4 linked regions of the Arabidopsis thaliana genome follow. The protein of the gene in region 3 interacts with the protein of the main gene of each other region in a pairwise test. Each region holds a gene or a part of one and is shown on either strand. Other genes may lie near its edges. The genes, in order: AT3G10980, AT3G52070, NRT1.7 and ERS2.

Region 1 (5,208 bases), on a different chromosome or scaffold from region 3:
TCAATGCTTTTCCTCAAGTTAAATTTCATCAATATAGAAACATATAAATTTACTATTGTTATAGATTTTGAGATACAAATATTTAAACCAATTAGATAAAAAATCCATATAAGATTTTATCATGAATTTCTTGAAAGATCTCCAATTATTAAATGTATATTCCTAGAAAAAACTATATACAGAATAATGACTAATTTGCCACAAAATACAATTATTCTTACATATATAAATTGCATCAAAAGGGTGATAAGTTATCAATTTCAACACTGATTTACTCTTGAAATATCTCTTTCTCAATAGAACTTCCAAAGGAAATGAAGTAAGTCTCTAACATTCTCACTTTCTTTTGCCTCATAGCTCTCCTATCCCGTAAGCATTTCTTATATCTCTGAGATTTTGTTCATTTCTGTAATCTAAAACTCAATCAATAAGACTTATTACTATTTAAAACAATATTAGCATACATGACTTAAGTTAGTTTTAACGGTGTAGATATAACATTCTCAAGTGTTAGCGTGGTGGAAGGTAGAAACACGTTGGAGCATGAAGCCATGTCGCATGTGATTAACCAAAAGACTTCTCCATATGTTGTGCATCCGCAAAAGGTTCCATGCGCTGATTGCACTTGGCCATGTGATCCTGTTGTAGTTGGTGAAGGTTGTATATGTCGTTGCTAAAATTTCCGTTTCTATCATAATTTCGCCATATATAATGTGTTGGACCTTCGATAAAAATTAAATAACAATAAAATTATATTTATTATTGATTGCTCGGAGAAAGAGATATAATGATACCATGAATCTCTTTCTCATAACTACATGGTATAGGAAGTTGAAGAAAACAATATGTTGATTTGCATTTCTCCATAAAAGACTTCTCCACATGTTATGCATCCGCAAAAGCACCCATGCGCTGATTTGCACTTGCCCATGTGATCTTGTTGTATCTGGAGAATGTCATATATGTCGATGCTAAAGTTTTTTTTATTTTATCGAATATCCGCCAAAATGTATTTGGCCTTCCACAAAATAATAATTATTATTGATTATAAACTCTGAGAAGGAGACCATAATTTCTTTCTCATGACAACATTGTCATTGTTAATCATCCAAATCGATTTCACTCTATGTGTTGTACACGCATCACATGAACAATACAACATACTATGTCTCAGTGATATCGCACAGCTGAATAGCTGATCTACTTTCAAGTTAACATACAACACAAAAAAAAAAAAAAAACTATGATAGATAAGAAGAATATGGTTGGTAGTAAGAAAATGTATTTTCCCTAGATCAAATTCCAAAACTTGATACAAAAACTCTAAATTAACCACTGGATGGCTTCGATTCTGTCATTAACGTGCGAGAATCTCGGTGTAATCGAGATCATTATAAACTTAATGATATTTTATCATTCTAAGAGCTAGTCTTGGAAGGTGTGAAGACTTTATTAATCAAGTATATATAAATTATCAAAAAACACAACCCAAAAAACAGTAAGAACAATACACATCTGTAACAGCTTGTCAGTAAATTAGTAGTAATAATTAAAATCTGATAAATACTATATGCTAAAACGTTTTGTGTATCTTATTTTTGTGAGTACACTAATACAATAATGCTTTTTTTTTTCCTTTTCATGAATAAAAAAAAACGTATTGGGACAATAATGGCGGCCTGATCAACGCTAAGTTAACTGCAACCACGAGAAAAAAAGAATCCGAGACTAGTTCTTCCCCAACGACCAATCTTATGTTGCATCAATTTCACAACAGAAGCCTTACCTTTTCATTACACGCATATTGCTTCTTCAAAGTTTCCTTTTAGATAAATTCTTAGTCTGAGTAACATCTCTTTCTTGTCTTGGGGGTTTCTCTGTAATTGCAGCTGAATCGGATCTTGGGCAATTTTTAAATTCCGATTCAACGAGTTTCTCAACTAAGGGTTTGATTCCTTTTCTTTTTCATCTTTGTTTATTCAAATCTGAATACTTTGTTAGGTTTCAATGTGCTGAGAAGTAGAAGAAGCTTCGTTGGCAAGTCCGAATCTTTTCTTCTTCTTTTTTCTGGGTTTTATATTCTTTGCCAACAATGTTTAAGCTTGCAAAGCATATATTCCTTTGAGTAGCTGTTTTATTCCTACAAAGATTTGATCTTCAATAGAGAGAGATAATGGGATCTAATTGTGATGGGAATTTGAAAGCAGAGATTGAAGAATCTAATGGTTCTTCTGGCAAAAATACTAAGGTTCCTCCTTGTCCTCTTGATGTTTCTACATCTAGAAGAACTTTGATTGGTGATGGTAAACCTAGGAGATGGTCTATTAGTGCTTTACCTGATGCTTCTAGTAGATTCCAGCTTCTCAAATTTGGTTCTCCTTCTGCTAAGTTCAAGAAAATGGCTGAGGATAGAGACGAGGTTTCACGGTCAGTGACTAGCTCAAGTAACGGAAGCAGTCATAATTTCAGGGAAAGAATCAGTGGCGTGCTTCACCGGAAAATAGATTGGAGTTCTCTGATGAATATGGGGAAAGAATGGATTAGGAATCCTATTAACATGGCTTTATTCGTTTGGATACTTGTTGTTGCAGTCTCTGGTGCTATTCTCTTCATGGTTATGACTGGTATGTTGAATCATGCTTTGCCTAAGAAGTCACAGAGAGATGCTTGGTTTGAAGTTAACAATCAGATTCTTAATGGCTTGTTTACTTTGATGTGTCTTTATCAACATCCCAAACGGTTTTATCACTTAGTGCTTCTTTGTAGATGGAAGCATGATGATATTACTAAGCTTAGGAAAGCTTATTGCAAGGATGGGACTTATAAGCCTAATGAATGGATGCACATTATGGTTGTTGTCATTTTGCTTCACTTGAATTGTTTTGCTCAGTACGCGCTTTGTGGTCTTAATGTTGGATACAGGAGATCAGAGAGACCTCCCATTGGAGTTGCTATATGTATCTCTGCTGCCATTGGAGCTCCTGCGGTTGCGGGTTTGTACACTATACTAAGTCCACTTGGGAAAGATTATAATGATTCTAATGAAGACGAGGAGAATCAACTGAAGCAACGTGAAGAAGGGTCTGTTAATCGTCGGTTTACTTTAGAGAGGAGGTATTCGTTTGCCTCTGCTTCCACGGGGGTTGGGGATGGGATGGTTCCGGTGAGTGATCCTCAGTGGAGTGGTGGAATTTTGGATATTTGGGATGATATTTCATTGGCTTATCTTTCTCTTTTCTGCACTTTCTGTGTCTTTGGATGGAACATGGAGAGAGTTGGGTTTGGGAACATGTATGTTCACATAGCTACGTTTATTCTCTTCTGTTTGGCACCTTTCTTTATATTCAACTTAGCTGCGGTTAATATCGATAATGAGACGGTCAGGGAGGCGTTAGGGATATCTGGAATCCTTCTTTGTGTGTTTGGTTTGCTCTATGGTGGATTCTGGAGAATTCAGATGAGGAAAAGATTCAAATTACCGAGTTATAATTTCTGTTTCGGTAGAGCCGCGATTGCTGATTGTGCGCTCTGGTTATGTTGTTGTTGGTGCTCTTTAGCACAAGAAGTTAGGACTGCAAACTCTTATGAGATAGTGGAAGACAAATTCTGCCAAAGAAAAGAAGAGAAGAATATGGTATCTCCGAATTTGGTATCACCTTTGCCTCGTGAAGACGGTGTGTTTGATCCTCGGTTTGGTCTCGGGAGCTCCCCTAAGAACATAAGTGGAGCTAGTTCTCCTAGCCCGAGCAGGTTTTGGAAAGAGGCACATAGCCCAAATGTACAGACACCTAGAGAGAAAGAAGAGGTTAAAAGCGATGTTGCTCTGACTCCACCTTCTCCTCTGTCTATACACCGAGAAGCTTGATTTGTAAAACCATGGAAATCCGAGTCCACTGGTAACCCTCCTTTCCTTTCTCTTTAGATGTTGTATGAATATGATTTGAGGACAACTTTTGAATACAAGTCTCTTTGAGTGTTTTACAAAAAAAATTATGAAGCTGGTTTCTTCATGTGAGTTGTATACAATTTCAGTTTCTGGTTTAGAGAACTTTCACGGCTTCTTCTGTAATGTAAATTTGTCTGTCATGCTTCAGTGAGACTTTGAGTGATCTATGTACCTTTGCAGGCTTTGCTTTTTTACTTCTAATTCATGATTCGAACCAGATGGTTGGAGAAGTTGTTGGCTTTTGAGGTTAAGTAGTAAGAACCATAGGAGATTTTGAGTCAGTCATATTCACAATTCTTTATTTTGCTTGGTTTTCTGGTCCGGTTTGGGGTTCAAATTCTCAAGTCTCAGTGGATTACATAAGGGATCACAGTGTATCTATAAACCCACGTATCGCTAATGGTGATCTACACCTGATTTAGATAGAGGAGACTCCACAATGTTAACAAATAATATAAAACTATAGTGCTATTAGTGAAAATGATACCACAAGTTGTCATTAGCAGAGAAAGATCAGTATCAATATCCAATATAGGAATGAAGCGTCACTGTCTTAAAGAGTCATTATCGTGGAGAACCACATCACTAATCCACTTATGTGTAGTTAGTTGTTTGTAATCAACTTTTTGTATTTTCTTGTGTAATCCAACTTTTGATGTATTAGTTTAAGCTGTATTACTTTTAAAAGCTTGCCTTTATTTTCCTTGTGAAATTCTGCATAAATATCAAAAGAGATTTATGACAAAACAATGTTGCTTTTTCATCATTAACGGTTGTGGTATTTTAGCCAATCAAATTCTTTAGTTTCTAATTTTAAAGTTGTGTTTAAAAACAAAAATGTACCACTATCGTCGACATAAGAAAAAAGTATCTAAGCTTAAAACGCTAACATTCATACCAATTTAAATTTATATCATTCCAAAGTTCTTCAAAATCCCTTAGTCTCTCTATTTCAATATGTACGTATAAAAATGTATTATAAGACATCGAAACGTGTCATGTGTACACTGAAGTCGCAGGACTAGAAGGAGCTAATAGGTGGCCATGGTGCTCTACGTGGACTCTCTGTGTGACACGTGTCAAAGTGATTATGCATCTTTCAAACTTCTGTGATAGGTTGGTTGGCCCGACCAAGACGACCAACATACTCGTTGAACACGTTTCGTTGCATATTTCTGTATTCATCTGTATTAATACTAATAAGAAACCATTTCTGTTTGACTGTATTAATGAATAATGATTCCTGAAGATTTTAAATTATT
Region 2 (3,035 bases), on a different chromosome or scaffold from region 3:
TCTACCTTCCCTAGAGACACACAAAAGCTTAAAAAACACAGCAATTTTCACACACACACACAGAAGTTCATCTTTATTTAGCCACTCTTCTTCGAGCGCCAACACAAGCTTCTTCCTAAACCTTCCTTATGATGATATCTGAAACCTGAACACAATAACAAGAAGATAAGCAAATTGAAACTAAACTCTCAAACTGTATTCATATTTACACATTGAGATTTCAGTGTTATACCTAATTTACTTTCACCGAATTCAATCCCTAAAGATCACAGCATCTGCAATCTCCATAAGCGGTTGCAATGACTCCGGCGTGAATTTTCTGGCGAAGAAATAGTCTAAACTCGAATTAGATCTCCGCAGAGAGTGAATCAGCTGCGGCGAGATCTCAGAGGCATCGTACGTGTGAGGATGACCACCAACACTACCGGTCCAATTAACACGTGTGAGTGTAAAGTGACTACATCCTTGAGGATCCTCAAGAGACAACAAAGTCGGAAAATAATGTTCTTCAGGGTAACAAGATTCAACATCAAGGCATGGTAATTTGAATTTCCTCCATAGCTTTCTCTCTTTGATCACCATTAGAGCATGACGTTTCGCTAATACGAAGAACTGAGATCCAACACGGAAGTCTTGGTACTGGATCTCAGGAAGCATCGCGTCGTCTCCTCTTGCGTTGTATCGTTTCAGAAGGAACGGTTCATCGGAGAGGATCTCGATGAAGCTTTGTTGATGATGATCGGAGAAGAGGTGGTTGTGGATGTAAGAGAAGGAATGGAGAGGGATACAGTGTTGTGAGATTAAAGCGAAATAGAGATTGTTAGGATCGTCGAGGATTGCGTTTGCTAGTAATCGTCGTTCGGCGGAGATTAACGTCGGAGAAGCTCGTGCGGTTCTTCTCGCCGGGATGAACTTAGCGTTGATTGATGAAGAATCGAGAAGAGGAGAGACGGAGGAGGTTGGATCTGCGTGGATGTAAACGTTGTAGAGATCTTGGTGACCTTGGAAGAAGCTTTCCCAGAGAGGTAAGAAGGTTAGATCGGAGTTTGTTAGGAAGAGGAAAGCGATCTTTGGGGGTGGATTTGGAGAGAGGGAGATGAGACGACGGTTGTTGTTGGTGGAGGAAGAGACGACGGCGCGGTGGAAGAGAGAGAGGTCGTCTAGGTCATCGGCGGTGGAAATGAGGGTAGAGGAAGAGAGAAGGATGTGTGGTGAGAGGATGAAGAGGAAGAAGAGAAGAGAAAGAGAGAGGAAGAGAGATAGAGAATAAACGAGTGTAGAAGATGAGAACATCTCTCTGTATACAACAACACAGAATTTCTCTGAGGAAGAAGAAGAAGAAGAAGAAGAAGATTGATTGAAATGAATGAGTTAGAAAAAATTCTGATGTGACAATAAAAAGGAAAAAGGGGAATAATGACGTCAGCAAAATGGGGACACGTGAAATTATTTTTAAAATTATTTGGGACAATCGACACAGTTGCTCTATCGCTATTTGTTTACGTGGGGCTGTTCTCTCTCTATTTATATAATAATGAGATACGGTTTTTTCAGCAACCAGATTTTAAAGTTATCTGATTAAATCTAATAATAGGATAGAGATAGAGTCACAGAGACATGTTGTTGACTTTATGACATTATTTTATTCTTTGCTTATCCACTCAGTCATCATTTATCTCACCAGTCAGACATAATGTGTTGTTGTTGTGAATTTGTAGATGCTTCCGACTATACCTGATTACCTGGCCATTCAGAATCGGTTTGGATCAAAAAATTTGGGTTTTCGGTTTAGAAATCGAAACAAACCGAATTAGTTGAAACGAACCGAATAGAAATTCGGCCAATTTGGTTTTGCATTGGCGTGTACCTTGTGACTACATGTGTGTGTGTTAGATGAGATCTATCCACCCATTTTTCAAATCATTTTTGTCGTTAAGCTATCAAGATTCTGATATTTTCCTGCTCACTTTTGATTCCCAAAACAAAAAACTTTCTTCAATTATTCTATTCATCTTCTCATGGCGGCTCTCTCCACCACCTTCTACTACCACCCACTCTGCACTAACCACCGTACAAAGAGACAAGCCTCAAGCAGACACGGAGTTAGATCTATGAGAGTGATGTCTTGTCGGAAGCAGAAATTACCAGAAGAGAATGAAGGAGTGATCCAGAGAACATTGAGAAGGATGATTTCAGAGGCTGGGAAGATTGGGAAGAATCTGAAGCCAGAGAAGAAGAAAGGAGACGTCAAGGACCTGATGCTTATGAGTCTCTCTTTTGCTGTTTATGTTTATATCTCTCAACTATTGGTTTGTGCTTACTTCTCCTGGCAACATCTCAGCTTCCCCAAATCTTCATGGTAGTAGCTAAGCTAGCTCCTCCTTGTAAATTCTGCACAAATCAGTAATAAGATAAGAAATTCAATTCCGACATAGGAGAATTGAGAGTTGTGATCTTTCACTTTGGTCTTATATAATTGAATTGTTAAGCTTCTCATACCTCTTTATCTGCTTTAACTCCGGCAGAAAAGGCAAACCAACCATTGCGATAACACTATCAACCAGTTAAGGCTCTTTGTTTTAGAGCCGAAAGGAGATGCAAGAGCCTCGGGCAGAGTCGCTGAGTATGCCTTGAAAACCAAAACTTTGACCGTAATTGTTAGAAAGAAAGAGAGATTCCTAACCATTTCGTATTGGCCTCCTCCAATTTATCCTCCTTAAACAGAGAGCCCCATCCATTTTCCTTCTGTGTGCTGCACCAAACCTTTCCTCCATAGTCATATCACTGCGAGCTTTTCCCTGTACAATCCAACCTCTAAGTCAGCTATAAGCAAAGAGCTTGGGATAAAAGCTTGGTTGTGGAGTGTTCAGGTAAGGAAACAAGAATCAGCAAATGATCTTAAAGAAAAAACGTTCCTCCTTTGTTTCATCAAATCCAACAACTTCAGCGTCATCTAACAATTCCGCTATAGATGGAACATTGGGAAAAAGAAGAGTTTCCATCTCTCCTATATGCTAAATTCCCAGCAAACATGC
Region 3 (6,601 bases):
TAATTGAGTGAATAAACGTTAAAACGGAATTCAATTGTAGGTTAAATGAATGATGGAATATACAGCATGTGGCAAAGAGGTAGACACAAAATAAAGCAGTAGATATTTTTGCTTCATGCCAAATATGTTTTGGACTTGGTGTTCTAGAAGTCTAATATGATATATATATATATATATATTTTTTTTTTTTTTATGTACCCAAGAAGTCTAATATTAATATTAACAGTAATAGCAGTAGTAGCTTTTCTTTACAACATATTAGTTGGGTTGTACTCATTTACCGTCCGTAATCGATAAAGGATGAAACTATGCCTAATAACGTGATCCTCCATAGAAATGATCAATTAAAACTATACTGTTTATATTTCTATCAAGTCATAACATAGTGTATATGATATAGTTCCAAATGCAATCCATCTAACTAGATTACTTTTATGATTTTAAATATACTTGTTAGAGATGGTTTTCTGATTCCAGGCAGAGAGTATGATGACAAAGTTATAAAATAAGACAAAACTGTGAACTATATCTAACACTTCTACATAATGAAAGGTAAAATTTTATTAAATATTCTAGTTCTTACATATTATGATACATACATTGTCATAGTAATTATTCAAACAACATCGACAATCTTCTTGTTGTCCCTAAGGATAGTCTATTAAATCATTTCATCGATTTCTTCGAAGTCATCTCAACATCATCGGAGGACTTGTCCTCCTCAAAGTCTTCAATCGGTAAACCGACCTTGTACCGGTATCCCCGAGCACAATACCAAAAGTAAACCAGATTAACCACACCCAAAACCGCAATCAGATAATAGAAGTAATCCAATTTTCCCGCGTTGAGATTCTTGTTTAGCCAATCCGGACGATCATGCCCACCGGAGAATTTATGAACGACAGTCACAAGGAAACTACTAAGGTAGCTCGAACCGGCGAACGATAAAGAGAAGAGAGAGTTAGCGATACTTCTCATGTGCTCTGGAAACTGACTGTTGAAGAACTCAATTTGTCCGATGATATTGAATGCTTCACATAGTCCCATGAGAATTAGCTGCGGCGAAAGCCAAAACACCGACATTGGAGTCATTCCCGTTGGATCTCCGGCATTGATGGAGCGTATGCGTCTCATACGCTCCACAATGCCCGCAACGATCATAGAAAAGATCGCGAAAACGATCCCTGTTCCTATCCTTTGGAGGAGTGTGATTCCGGATTTATGGCCGGTGATTCGCCGCATGAATGGTACAAAAACGCGGTCGTAGAAGGGAAGAAAGATGCCGATTGTGAGGAGAGAGATGACGGAGAGTGAACCAGCCGGAATCTCGAATTTAGGACCTAAGTTTCGATCCATTTTCAAAGCTTGAGAGACCGTGAAAGTGCCTTGTGTTGTCATGGCCGCGAGTGAGATTATTCCGGCCGACCAGATAGGAACAATTCGGATCAAACACTTCACTTCTTCCACTTCTTGGACGCTGCATAACCGCCACTTGTCTGCGGGAGGTCCCTCGGGTGTTAGGTCACCTTCTATAACCACCGCGGCTTTGTCAAGACACCTAATTTTATGCCATTTCAGTTAGACTATAGGTTAATACAAAATCATGTAATCAGTGTTGTCTTAAAACCACCTTGAAAGTGATAAGCAAAAAATAAAAACAAAAATCATATATTAAGTACCTGAATTGGTTACTGCGGTGTAACTTGGATAACACGCTAGACTTGATGGCTGGGTCGTAATAGGTGACAGTGCCGTCATCTTCCGCCGGAAGTTTCAGCTTTCGCTTCTTACGAGCTGCCACGATAACTTGAGCGATCCCAGAGAATATACTTCCTTCTGGTTTAACGTAGACATAACGCTTCATTCCGGCAAAAAACATAACAACCGCAAGAGCCATGAGTCCGGTAGGGATACTAAAACCGATAATCCAACTGACTTGATCCTGGATATACACAACTACGGTCTGTGTAATGATCAGAACCACAGTGAAAGTCATGTAATACCAGTTGAAGAAACTGGCCACTCCTTTAACCCCTTCCTCAGTTCGTTGGTCAAACTGATCAACCCCAAAAGGGATGCTACAAGGTCGTATTCCTCCACTCCCTACGGAGAGGAAACAGAGTCCCAATAGCAAAACTCCGATCTGGAGCTTATTCGGACCGCCGCAACTGAGTGGGTCCTGGCTGTTGCATGATGCTGGGTGGAGTTGAGGAAACGATGCTGTGAGTGTAATTGTTATTAGTCCCTGCATGTTGTCAATGTAATTATAATCAGTCATTATTAATTTTGAAACCGATTCTTCATTATTAGATATTCTATAATATATAACTTGAAACTGAATGATTGTTAATTAATATTGAAGAAAGCAAACAGTAGTGTGGGATATATAGATTGAAGTTATGCGAACAAATACAAACAATTAATAAAGTTTACAATAGTCTTAATTAGGTTTGACTTCATATGATTGAAAAGTGATGTTACCTTGATTAGGTGAAAGTGACAGTGACGTAGAACCTAATATCATTTATTTCTGTTGTAACCCTAATATAGTAATATGAGCATTTGTAACAGTTTAAGTTCAACGTTTAACTAATTACGAAAAAGACAAAAAAGTGCAAGAGAAATTAACAAGTTGGATGCGATCATAATTCTATAATTGTGAATGAAACAGACACTAGAAAAGTAACTATTATTATATACGTAACGTCACTGTGATACTGACCAAATCTAAAACCCAACTAGCTAGCTAAATCATCAAGAAACTCAAACACTCAATTATTGGACAATCTCATTGTCAATAATCTATATTGACCACTTGCGTATCTCTTCCTTTTCTACGCACATCTCTTTATCTCTTAAACAGAACACGTTCTAATACGTAACTCCTTTATTGGAAAATGTTTCATCAATGAACAAAAGATGTTTACGTGAGATAAGTATTTTCTTACCATTTTTTTTGGATGTTATATAAATTTTCAAGGTAAATACCGACAAGAATAAGTGTACTAACTAATGCTTTTGTTCTTATGATTCACATTATTGACCGACCTTATCGTCCTCGATAGCGTGGTCCCTCAATAAGTTCATGCGTTTTCGTACGATACAAAAGTAATTTAATAGCTTTTGATATAGAAAAAAAGAGAGTAACATAATAGGTATAAAATAATATATAAAGTGTTAATACTTTGTCATTTACATATATATATACTTAATTTAATTTGTCTATACGTATTTTCTTATCATGTCCACGTGCGGGGTGAAATTATGTGCCAAGTATCATGTATCGTCGCCACACACACAAAAAAACACGTAAATTGAGTAGTAATATAGAACTTTCTATTTAGAGTTGTTATGTTTTTTGTTGGATGCAACTATTCGAACAGTGGACGCTAAAGCACTGACCCATGCTGGCAGTAGGCCGCGAATAGTTGCGGATTTGAGGTGTTAGGAACATATAAAGTAAATACTACTACGTACGTAAATGTTGTGTATTTGTAGACACATTAGATTATTTATTTTTATTTTAGTTTTTTAAAAAGATTATATAAAATTTTCAATAAGTTAAATAAAAAAATATTATACGTACGAGGAGAGTGGCGAATGAGGCGAAAGCGATGGTCTTGAAGCGGCCAACATAAGTGTCTGAGATATACGCTCCGACGAGAGGAGTGAGATTGGTGAAACCTGACCAAATGTTGATGACATTTGCAGCGTCGACTTGTTCTAAGTGAAACACTTTGGTTAGATAAACCATGAAGTTTGCCAACAATCCTATCGATCCCAGTCTCTCCAGCGTCTCATTTCCTATTCAACCCATTTTATTACAAAATATTATCAGCAAATAAATCGACAAATAATCCCTCTATTGAAGAATATCAATTATACTCCATTTTATCTAGTAATTATCATCACTAACAAAATTAATCATATTCCATTAAATAGAGAGAAATAAAATATTATAAAAATTTAAAAGTATAAAATAATTTAAAATGAAAGTTAACATTTTGGCTAAAAGAGCACTTATGATGACAAATTTTTATTCCATTTCAGTTATAAAGTCGTCAGCTAGACGAGTGTCAAACATGTTGGACCGACGGTTACGAGAGTAATATATAATATAATTTTTGATCGAGCTGAAAAGATTATGCGCTCATTTCTTTTGTTCTGACTATTATGTGCAATGATTTAGGCAGAACGTGATCTTGCAACGGCCCGTTACATCTCCCAATGATAATATATTAACTGGTTTCTAGAACTATATATCCAATTAAGGAAATTAACAAAAAAATATTAGCCAATAACTGAGGAAAGGTCAAGGATTAGGTAAACTAAATTATGTACACGAAGCCTAAAAATAAAATTAAAATACCTAAAATGAACGAGACGGCTCTCCATCCTCCAGGCTTTTTCTCTACCTTCTCAGCATCCAATATAGATCCCGGCGAACTTATCCGCTTGTAGGGATCAACAACATCCAACTCCGACGGTGACGATTTAGAGAAACTACCGGATCGTCCCGGCAAAGAAGAACCGTCCTTTCTATCCTCCAAAACCATCTCTAAGATATTACTACACTCGTGATATACTCACTTCGATTTCGGGGTGGATTTAATGTTGTGAGAATATATTCTCACTTTTTTGCAATCAAGGTAACACACATGAAGTGATTGATAAATGTAGAGAGTGGGCACAACATACAGACACTTTCTCTTTGTTAGAAGCTTTTTTGGGTGTAGTGAATTATTTGTGGAAGTGTGTATATATAAGGGAGTGAGTAGATAATATATGGTGGGTGTGGGTAAATTTGAATGACGTTCGCCACTAGTAGCCTCCACGTGAGAAGTTTGAAGAGGAAAATTAAAAGAAAACTATTTTAGTGCTATGTTTTTTTTGTTTTTCTTACACCGTACGTAACATTATTGTTTTGTTCCACGTATTGTGAACCTTCCATGTTCCATACAATTGTAACGTTAAAATACGATGTTAAATTAATGAACCATCTTTTACAGTACATTTGCATCGTAAGGGGTTGATGGATGATATTTTTTGTTCACGCGGTTTTATGTGTGTTGTCGGTCATATATATGGTATGATGTGTCTCAAAAGGACATCTAATCTTTTTTACCTAAAAATGATATGATATCTCATAAATAAGCGAGATTTTATTTTCTCTAAAGCATATTTTATTTTTATTTTCTTAAAGGAAGTGAGATTGTATCGATTTTTTCTATTAATCAATCAGTTGACTTAGTTCTACACTTTAATGATCCTGACAAAATCTTAAAATTTATATAGAACCTTTTAAAATTTTTACTATTATTGATAGAGATAAACATTTGTCACATTTATACGATTTTGACTCATGGCGATAGATTCTTCGAAGTTAAAACTCTCTTTCAAACTAGTTAATAAGAGTAGATTTTATTTACTGCTTTATACAATTCACACACTTGAAACGTCCAATATGTCATCTTGGCATACAATTGCTTGTTGAGAGTCGTTCAATTGGTAAACAAATAAATAAAACTCAAAACGTACATACCAACATGATCTAATATTTTTGCACAAAAAGTCATCGCACTCTAAGATGAACCTTAAACTATTTTGGGTTGCAATCAAACAAAGAAACACATATCACCAAAATTTAATATAATAAAGTTAGAAACAATAGTACACATATAGAGCTGGCCTTAAAACTTTGGAAGCTCATACCAAAAAATAAAATAAAAAAATGACATATCACCAATTAATACATTGAGATGAATTTGTGCAGGAAGTGATTAAATTTCGAACCCACTTAATCCTCCTAAAAATATTAACAGAATTTCCGAGAAAGAAACTAATTCTATTTATTCGTATATAATTTTATACGATTGCTCGAATGTGTGGTACATATGTTTATCTAGATGTTGAGTTGAGAAATTCCATGTCTAGATATTTTTCAATTCTAAATTTTCATTGATTTATTGTAGAAAAAAATATTAATCAACCACTTCAACTTCAAAACAATTCGCATCATTTTTTTTTCTCAATGTAAAATATATATTATATATAGAAACAATGAAAATCTTCACAAGAAATGAACATTAATAATAAAATTATCATTGAATGTTTATGTTAAAGGAAAGATTAAGTCCAACCAAACTTGTAAAATTCAAATTGAACACAAACATAAAAATCGGTGAGTGAAGACAGAAACAGAAAGAGAAATACGATAAGATGAGGTAGGCTTTTATCGCCTTTTAGGCAAATGCAAGTGCCTAACACTGTCGCATGCGCGAGCCATCAAATTTCTACGCAAACCCTCTTTGTCTTTTCTTCTTTATTAATTTTTTTTTGTTTGGACCTTTACGTGGGATCCTATACCGTATCACCGTTCGATTTTATGGTCATATTATTGTACACCGTTCGATCATCTTATCTCTCTTCACCATTCTCAATGGTCAGATGATATGAACCGTGGACTGGGTGCCTAAGGTTTGGACTGCTTTTACTAATCTGTCTCAATATGCTGAGCTGTGTGGTGCGGGTCACTATCAAACATATGCATTTTAATGGTCATGATCGAATAACGAAAAATGTATATGGAGTTTGATAGATA
Region 4 (5,254 bases), about 25 Mb from region 3:
CGTCTATCAAACATTAGCTAGTCTTGTACTGGATTGCCTTTACAGACAAAAGATTATACTGTATATGTATGTGGTCTCATGCAAAAAAAGTAAAAATGATTCTGTGTACATCTGTTTTGATTTGCATATATATTGGCTTAAGTGGCAAAGGTGCATGCACTATTTCTATTTCTTTGATAAAAGTTTTATGATGCATGCATTCTTACCAGTGATTTCTTTAAAAGGAGAAGACATTTGTTTTGTAATAGTGACGAGAATGTAGACAGAAAAGGAAAGGAATCAGCACGTGTTCATCGCTCGACACGTGGCCAATAATAGCATTGGATTCAGAAAAAAAGAAAAAGAAAAAAGCGAAAAAACCTGTATAACAGGAAAAAAATACAATCTGCACCAGCCGGGAATCGAACCCGGGTCTGTACCGTGGCAGGGTACTATTCTACCACTAGACCACTGGTTATTTATTTAAAAGATTTATATTGGTATAAAACCTTGACCATAAAATGTTCCTAGTGCATCCACTAAGATCAAATTCATATTAATAAACAAAAACATAAAATTCAAACCGATATAGCAAGATTGCTGTTAGTTTTGTCTTCTAAATCTGATAAGTGTTCGTTATTGTCGAGGTTATGTAGCTAGTTTATATATTACTTGTACTAAATTTCAATAGGGCAATCAAAATATACGGATTTTCATGTGTATATATTTTTCTAAATTTGCGGTTTACAAAGAAAAGTTAGTGGTTGATCATATTGATTTCTTGAAAGGGAAATATTACCAATAAAATGATAAAATTGCCAAGAAAAATTAGTAGTACGATCGATAATTTAGTGATATTGGGATCCAAAGAGATGATCATGCACTTAGTTAAGACTCCATTTTCTGATAAGAGTTAAGTGGCGGTAGACCCACAAAGAAATTTGATTCGGTATTGTTATTATTGAGTAGAAAAACAAAGATGGAGTGTTTAACTAAATCATGTCTAATAAGTAGCAAGGTAGGTCAATATAACGTTTTACAAACGAAAAATAGCATTGCATATTTAATTATCTACCAAATATCTTAAGTCAGTCGAATAAACTAACTCATTATGTTATCAAATCAGCCGCAAATTGTGCCGTTTAAGTCAATACTATTTTTAACTTAGATATTTAGTGAGTAGACTTCATACTTGCATAGTCTAGTAGTTATCATTGTTTAATGCAATTTTTTGGTTTTAATGTAAACTTATACTACTATTTGGTCATGTAATCTCACTTTCTAAAAAACCAATGTAATCATCCATAATAGAAATAAAACATTTATTTAATATAATTAACTAATTTTTAAACATTAAAAAGAATAGATTTATTTTTATACATAAAATAATAGAAATATAAATATATATATATATTATTATAGGTTGTTTATTGTAATCCAAAAGCAGAATAAAATTTGGGATAGGTATTAAGAGTCATAAATCTTGAAAATAGAGTCATTAATTAATAAAGCTGAAAAGGAAAGATTAAAAAAAGAAGAAGAATCCTCTAAAATTGAATTTGGTAAGAGTCCACGTAGGTCAAGAAGAAGAAGAAGAAGATGTCGTGCTCGTGTTGTGTTCCAAACGAAAAGCGTCTATGTTCTCTTCATGTACCGTTTCTGGGTCCCACCCCCCTTTCCTTCTTCACTCTCCCCCCAATTCCTCCCTCTCTCTCTCTCTCTCTCTCTCTCTCTCACCAAAACGTAAATCTACTCTCTCTATCGCAGCAGACACAGAAAAAGAGAGAGCGAGAGACTCTGCTCACACACATATTTACTTCCCTAACTTGTCTCTCTCTCTACACATTCTGGTGAGTTTCGTAAGATTCAACAATCGTTTAGACTTCTTCTTCTTCTTCTTCTACAGCTTTTACGTTTTCTGGAAAAGAGATTTTTGGCTGATCACTACGTTGCAGGTATATGATTTCTCAAATGTGAGATGGGTTTGATGTTCCTTTTCGCTATTTCTCATCTGATTTTGAATTTTCTGCGGATTTTGTGAGGAATCGGTAGATTTTGATGTTTGTTCTTGTGGGTGGTTCATAACTTCATACATTTAGGGGATTAAAAGAAAATTAATTTACAAATTCGGTCCTTGTTGTGAAAAAGATTTATAATCTAAAAGACATTAACTTTACTCTCTCCTTGAACAAGTTTTGAATTTTGAATCTTTTTCTGATTTTGATTTTCACTATGTTCATAGGTAATTGCACAATTCTGGGTATACAAAATCCAAACGTTACGCATATTGAATTGAAAAATCTCGATTTTGAGTTCTGGGTATGAATAAAAATCTCACCTTTTTAATTAATTCTTACTCAGGGAAACAGTAATCGATGTTAAAGACATTGTTAGTCCAATGGCTTGTCTTCTTCTTCTTCTTCTTAATCGGTTCCGTCGTCACCGCCGCAGAAGACGACGGTAGCTTGTCGTTATGCAACTGCGACGACGAAGACAGTCTCTTTAGCTACGAGACAATCCTCAACTCGCAAAAAGTCGGCGACTTTCTTATCGCAATCGCTTATTTCTCGATCCCAATCGAGCTGGTTTACTTCGTGAGCCGCACCAATGTGCCTTCACCTTACAATTGGGTGGTCTGCGAGTTTATAGCCTTCATTGTTCTCTGCGGCATGACCCATTTGCTCGCTGGTTTCACCTACGGGCCTCACTGGCCTTGGGTCATGACAGCTGTCACTGTCTTCAAGATGCTGACTGGTATCGTCTCTTTCCTCACGGCACTCTCGTTAGTCACTCTCTTACCATTGCTTCTTAAGGCTAAGGTTCGTGAGTTTATGTTGAGTAAGAAGACCAGAGAGCTTGATCGTGAGGTTGGGATCATTATGAAGCAGACTGAGACGAGTTTGCATGTTCGTATGCTCACTACCAAGATTAGGACGTCTCTTGATCGACACACCATTCTATACACTACGCTTGTGGAGTTGTCCAAGACTCTGGGGCTCAAGAACTGTGCGGTTTGGATCCCGAATGAGATCAAGACGGAGATGAATCTTACTCATGAGTTAAGACCGAGGATTGATGATGAGAATGAGAATGAGCATTTTGGTGGTTATGCTGGGTTCTCGATACCGATTAGTGAGTCTGATGTTGTGAGGATTAAGAGAAGCGAAGAGGTGAATATGTTGAGCCCTGGTTCTGTGCTTGCCTCAGTGACTAGCCGAGGGAAGTCAGGTCCTACGGTTGGGATAAGAGTCCCTATGCTTCGGGTTTGTAACTTTAAAGGCGGGACACCAGAGGCGATTCACATGTGTTATGCGATATTGGTGTGTGTGCTTCCATTGAGACAGCCGCAGGCTTGGACTTATCAAGAGCTTGAGATTGTTAAGGTGGTGGCTGATCAAGTGGCGGTTGCAATCTCTCACGCCGTGATTCTTGAAGAATCTCAGCTTATGAGAGAGAAACTCGCTGAACAGAACCGAGCGCTTCAGGTTGCGAGGGAGAACGCACTGAGAGCTAATCAAGCCAAGGCTGCGTTCGAGCAGATGATGAGCGATGCAATGAGGTGTCCTGTGCGGTCCATTCTCGGGTTGCTTCCTTTGATACTTCAGGATGGGAAGTTACCCGAGAACCAGACTGTTATCGTTGATGCAATGAGGAGAACCAGCGAGTTACTTGTACAGCTTGTAAACAATGCCGGAGATATAAACAATGGGACAATCCGCGCTGCAGAGACTCATTATTTCAGTTTGCATTCGGTTGTGAAAGAGTCAGCTTGCGTGGCGAGGTGTTTATGCATGGCAAATGGTTTTGGTTTCTCAGCTGAAGTTTATAGAGCATTGCCTGACTACGTCGTAGGTGATGATAGAAAGGTCTTTCAAGCGATTTTGCATATGCTTGGGGTTCTAATGAATCGAAAGATCAAAGGGAATGTGACTTTCTGGGTTTTTCCGGAAAGCGGGAACTCAGACGTATCAGAGAGGAAAGATATTCAAGAAGCGGTTTGGCGACATTGCTATTCGAAAGAATACATGGAAGTTAGATTCGGATTCGAGGTAACTGCTGAAGGTGAAGAGAGTAGTAGTAGTAGTAGTGGTAGTAACCTGGAGGAGGAGGAAGAGAATCCGAGTCTCAACGCTTGCCAAAACATTGTAAAGGTTGGTCATTTGTGTTTTGTATGTAAATGTGCTAATGACTTGGTTTAACACTTTTATCTTGTTTTGTGACAGTATATGCAAGGGAATATTCGGGTTGTTGAGGACGGTCTAGGTTTGGTGAAAAGCGTCTCAGTTGTTTTCCGGTTTCAACTCCGGCGATCGATGATGTCGAGAGGCGGTGGATATTCTGGAGAAACGTTTAGAACCTCAACTCCTCCGTCTACTAGCCACTGATCATTGACGTCAGGAAGGGGGGGAGGGGAATGTAGTGCAAAAGAAAGATTTAAGGGGTGGAATCTGAGAATTTGTAAAAACAGTAGGGGCTTTAATGAGATTAACAGAGAGAGTACTAAAACGTTGTCGTTCGGTTGTAAAAACCTGAAAGTTAACTAGGTTTTAACCTATCGTGTAGGCAAAAGGTATGATGCAGACTTGTTGTAACTTGCTGGTGATAACAGAATTCAAAGTAAAAAAATGTGTCGGAGGATGTTCCTTACGGATTTGTGATTTACAAGCCTACCAACTCCTTTGTCAAATATTGTGACGTTTTAGATGAAGCTTATAAATTTATTGATTTCTGATCCAGAAACCGTATACAACTTGTATCCACAATATGTATCCAGGTACATATTAACTTCGACCTTTTAATTAACTTTTGTTTTTAAAAGGTTTATGTGATTTTTTTTTTTTAACATTGAGGTGATTCGTGCGACCTCTCTTTCTCTCTATTTATCTCTCTTTCTTTTCCTCCGTCGTCTTTTTTGGTTTGTTCTCTCTCTGTAGAATCTCATAGGAGCTGCCATTAGCCCATTCAACGAATTAGCTTCTCTTTGCTCTTTCTTCCACCATCTCAGGTTCGCTTCGATCTACAACCAATAAGCTTCTTCTATATCTCCTCCTTTGTTCTTCGGATTTTGCGAGGCTTTATGTTCCGATTACAGTCTTTCATTTTGATACCACACCGATTTTGATTTTCCCCGATCGTTGATTTCATCTGGGCTTTGTTTTGTTTTCCGATGTCTTTGATGAAATTATGAGGTTTCTCTGGATATTTTAGCTGATTGAAATGATATATTGCTTCGCCGCCCTCTAATTTTTCGGCTGATTTTTTTTTGTTTGTTTGT

What was found.
Region 1: the proteins of NRT1.7 (region 3) and AT3G10980 interact in a protein complementation assay, tested with the Arabidopsis thaliana proteins (one large-scale study listed by BioGRID).
Region 2: the proteins of NRT1.7 (region 3) and AT3G52070 interact in a protein complementation assay, tested with the Arabidopsis thaliana proteins (one large-scale study listed by BioGRID).
Region 4: the proteins of NRT1.7 (region 3) and ERS2 interact in a protein complementation assay, tested with the Arabidopsis thaliana proteins (one large-scale study listed by BioGRID).

The regions. Positions count from the first base shown.
Region 1 is NC_003074.8:3,436,637-3,441,844, forward strand, and holds AT3G10980 (PLAC8 family protein), read left to right. Parts: upstream 1-1,575; 5' UTR 1,576-2,173; coding exon 2,174-3,865; 3' UTR 3,866-4,663; downstream 4,664-5,208. Other genes in the region: AT3G10974 (uncharacterized protein), read left to right, coding at 552-677.
Region 2 is NC_003074.8:19,310,735-19,313,769, forward strand, and holds AT3G52070 (RNA/RNP complex-1-interacting phosphatase), read left to right. Parts: upstream 1-1,983; 5' UTR 1,984-2,018; coding exon 2,019-2,363; 3' UTR 2,364-2,490; downstream 2,491-3,035. Other genes in the region: AT3G52060 (core-2/I-branching beta-1,6-N-acetylglucosaminyltransferase family protein), read right to left, coding at 253-1,293; AT3G52075 (uncharacterized protein), read right to left, coding at 2,513-2,686.
Region 3 is NC_003070.9:26,314,163-26,320,763, reverse strand, and holds NRT1.7 (nitrate transporter 1.7), read right to left. Parts: upstream 4,978-6,601; 5' UTR 4,557-4,977; coding exon 4,370-4,556; intron 3,805-4,369; coding exon 3,587-3,804; intron 2,246-3,586; coding exon 1,680-2,245; intron 1,559-1,679; coding exon 667-1,558; 3' UTR 531-666; downstream 1-530. UniProt on the Arabidopsis thaliana protein: Low-affinity proton-dependent nitrate transporter. Not involved in dipeptides transport, but has a weak glucosinolate transport activity. Involved in phloem loading and nitrate remobilization from the older leaves to other tissues.
Region 4 is NC_003070.9:1,154,226-1,159,479, reverse strand, and holds ERS2 (ethylene response sensor 2), read left to right. Parts: upstream 1-1,666; 5' UTR 1,667-1,934; intron 1,935-2,340; 5' UTR 2,341-2,354; coding exon 2,355-4,130; intron 4,131-4,202; coding exon 4,203-4,364; 3' UTR 4,365-4,716; downstream 4,717-5,254. UniProt on the Arabidopsis thaliana protein: Ethylene receptor related to bacterial two-component regulators. Acts as a redundant negative regulator of ethylene signaling.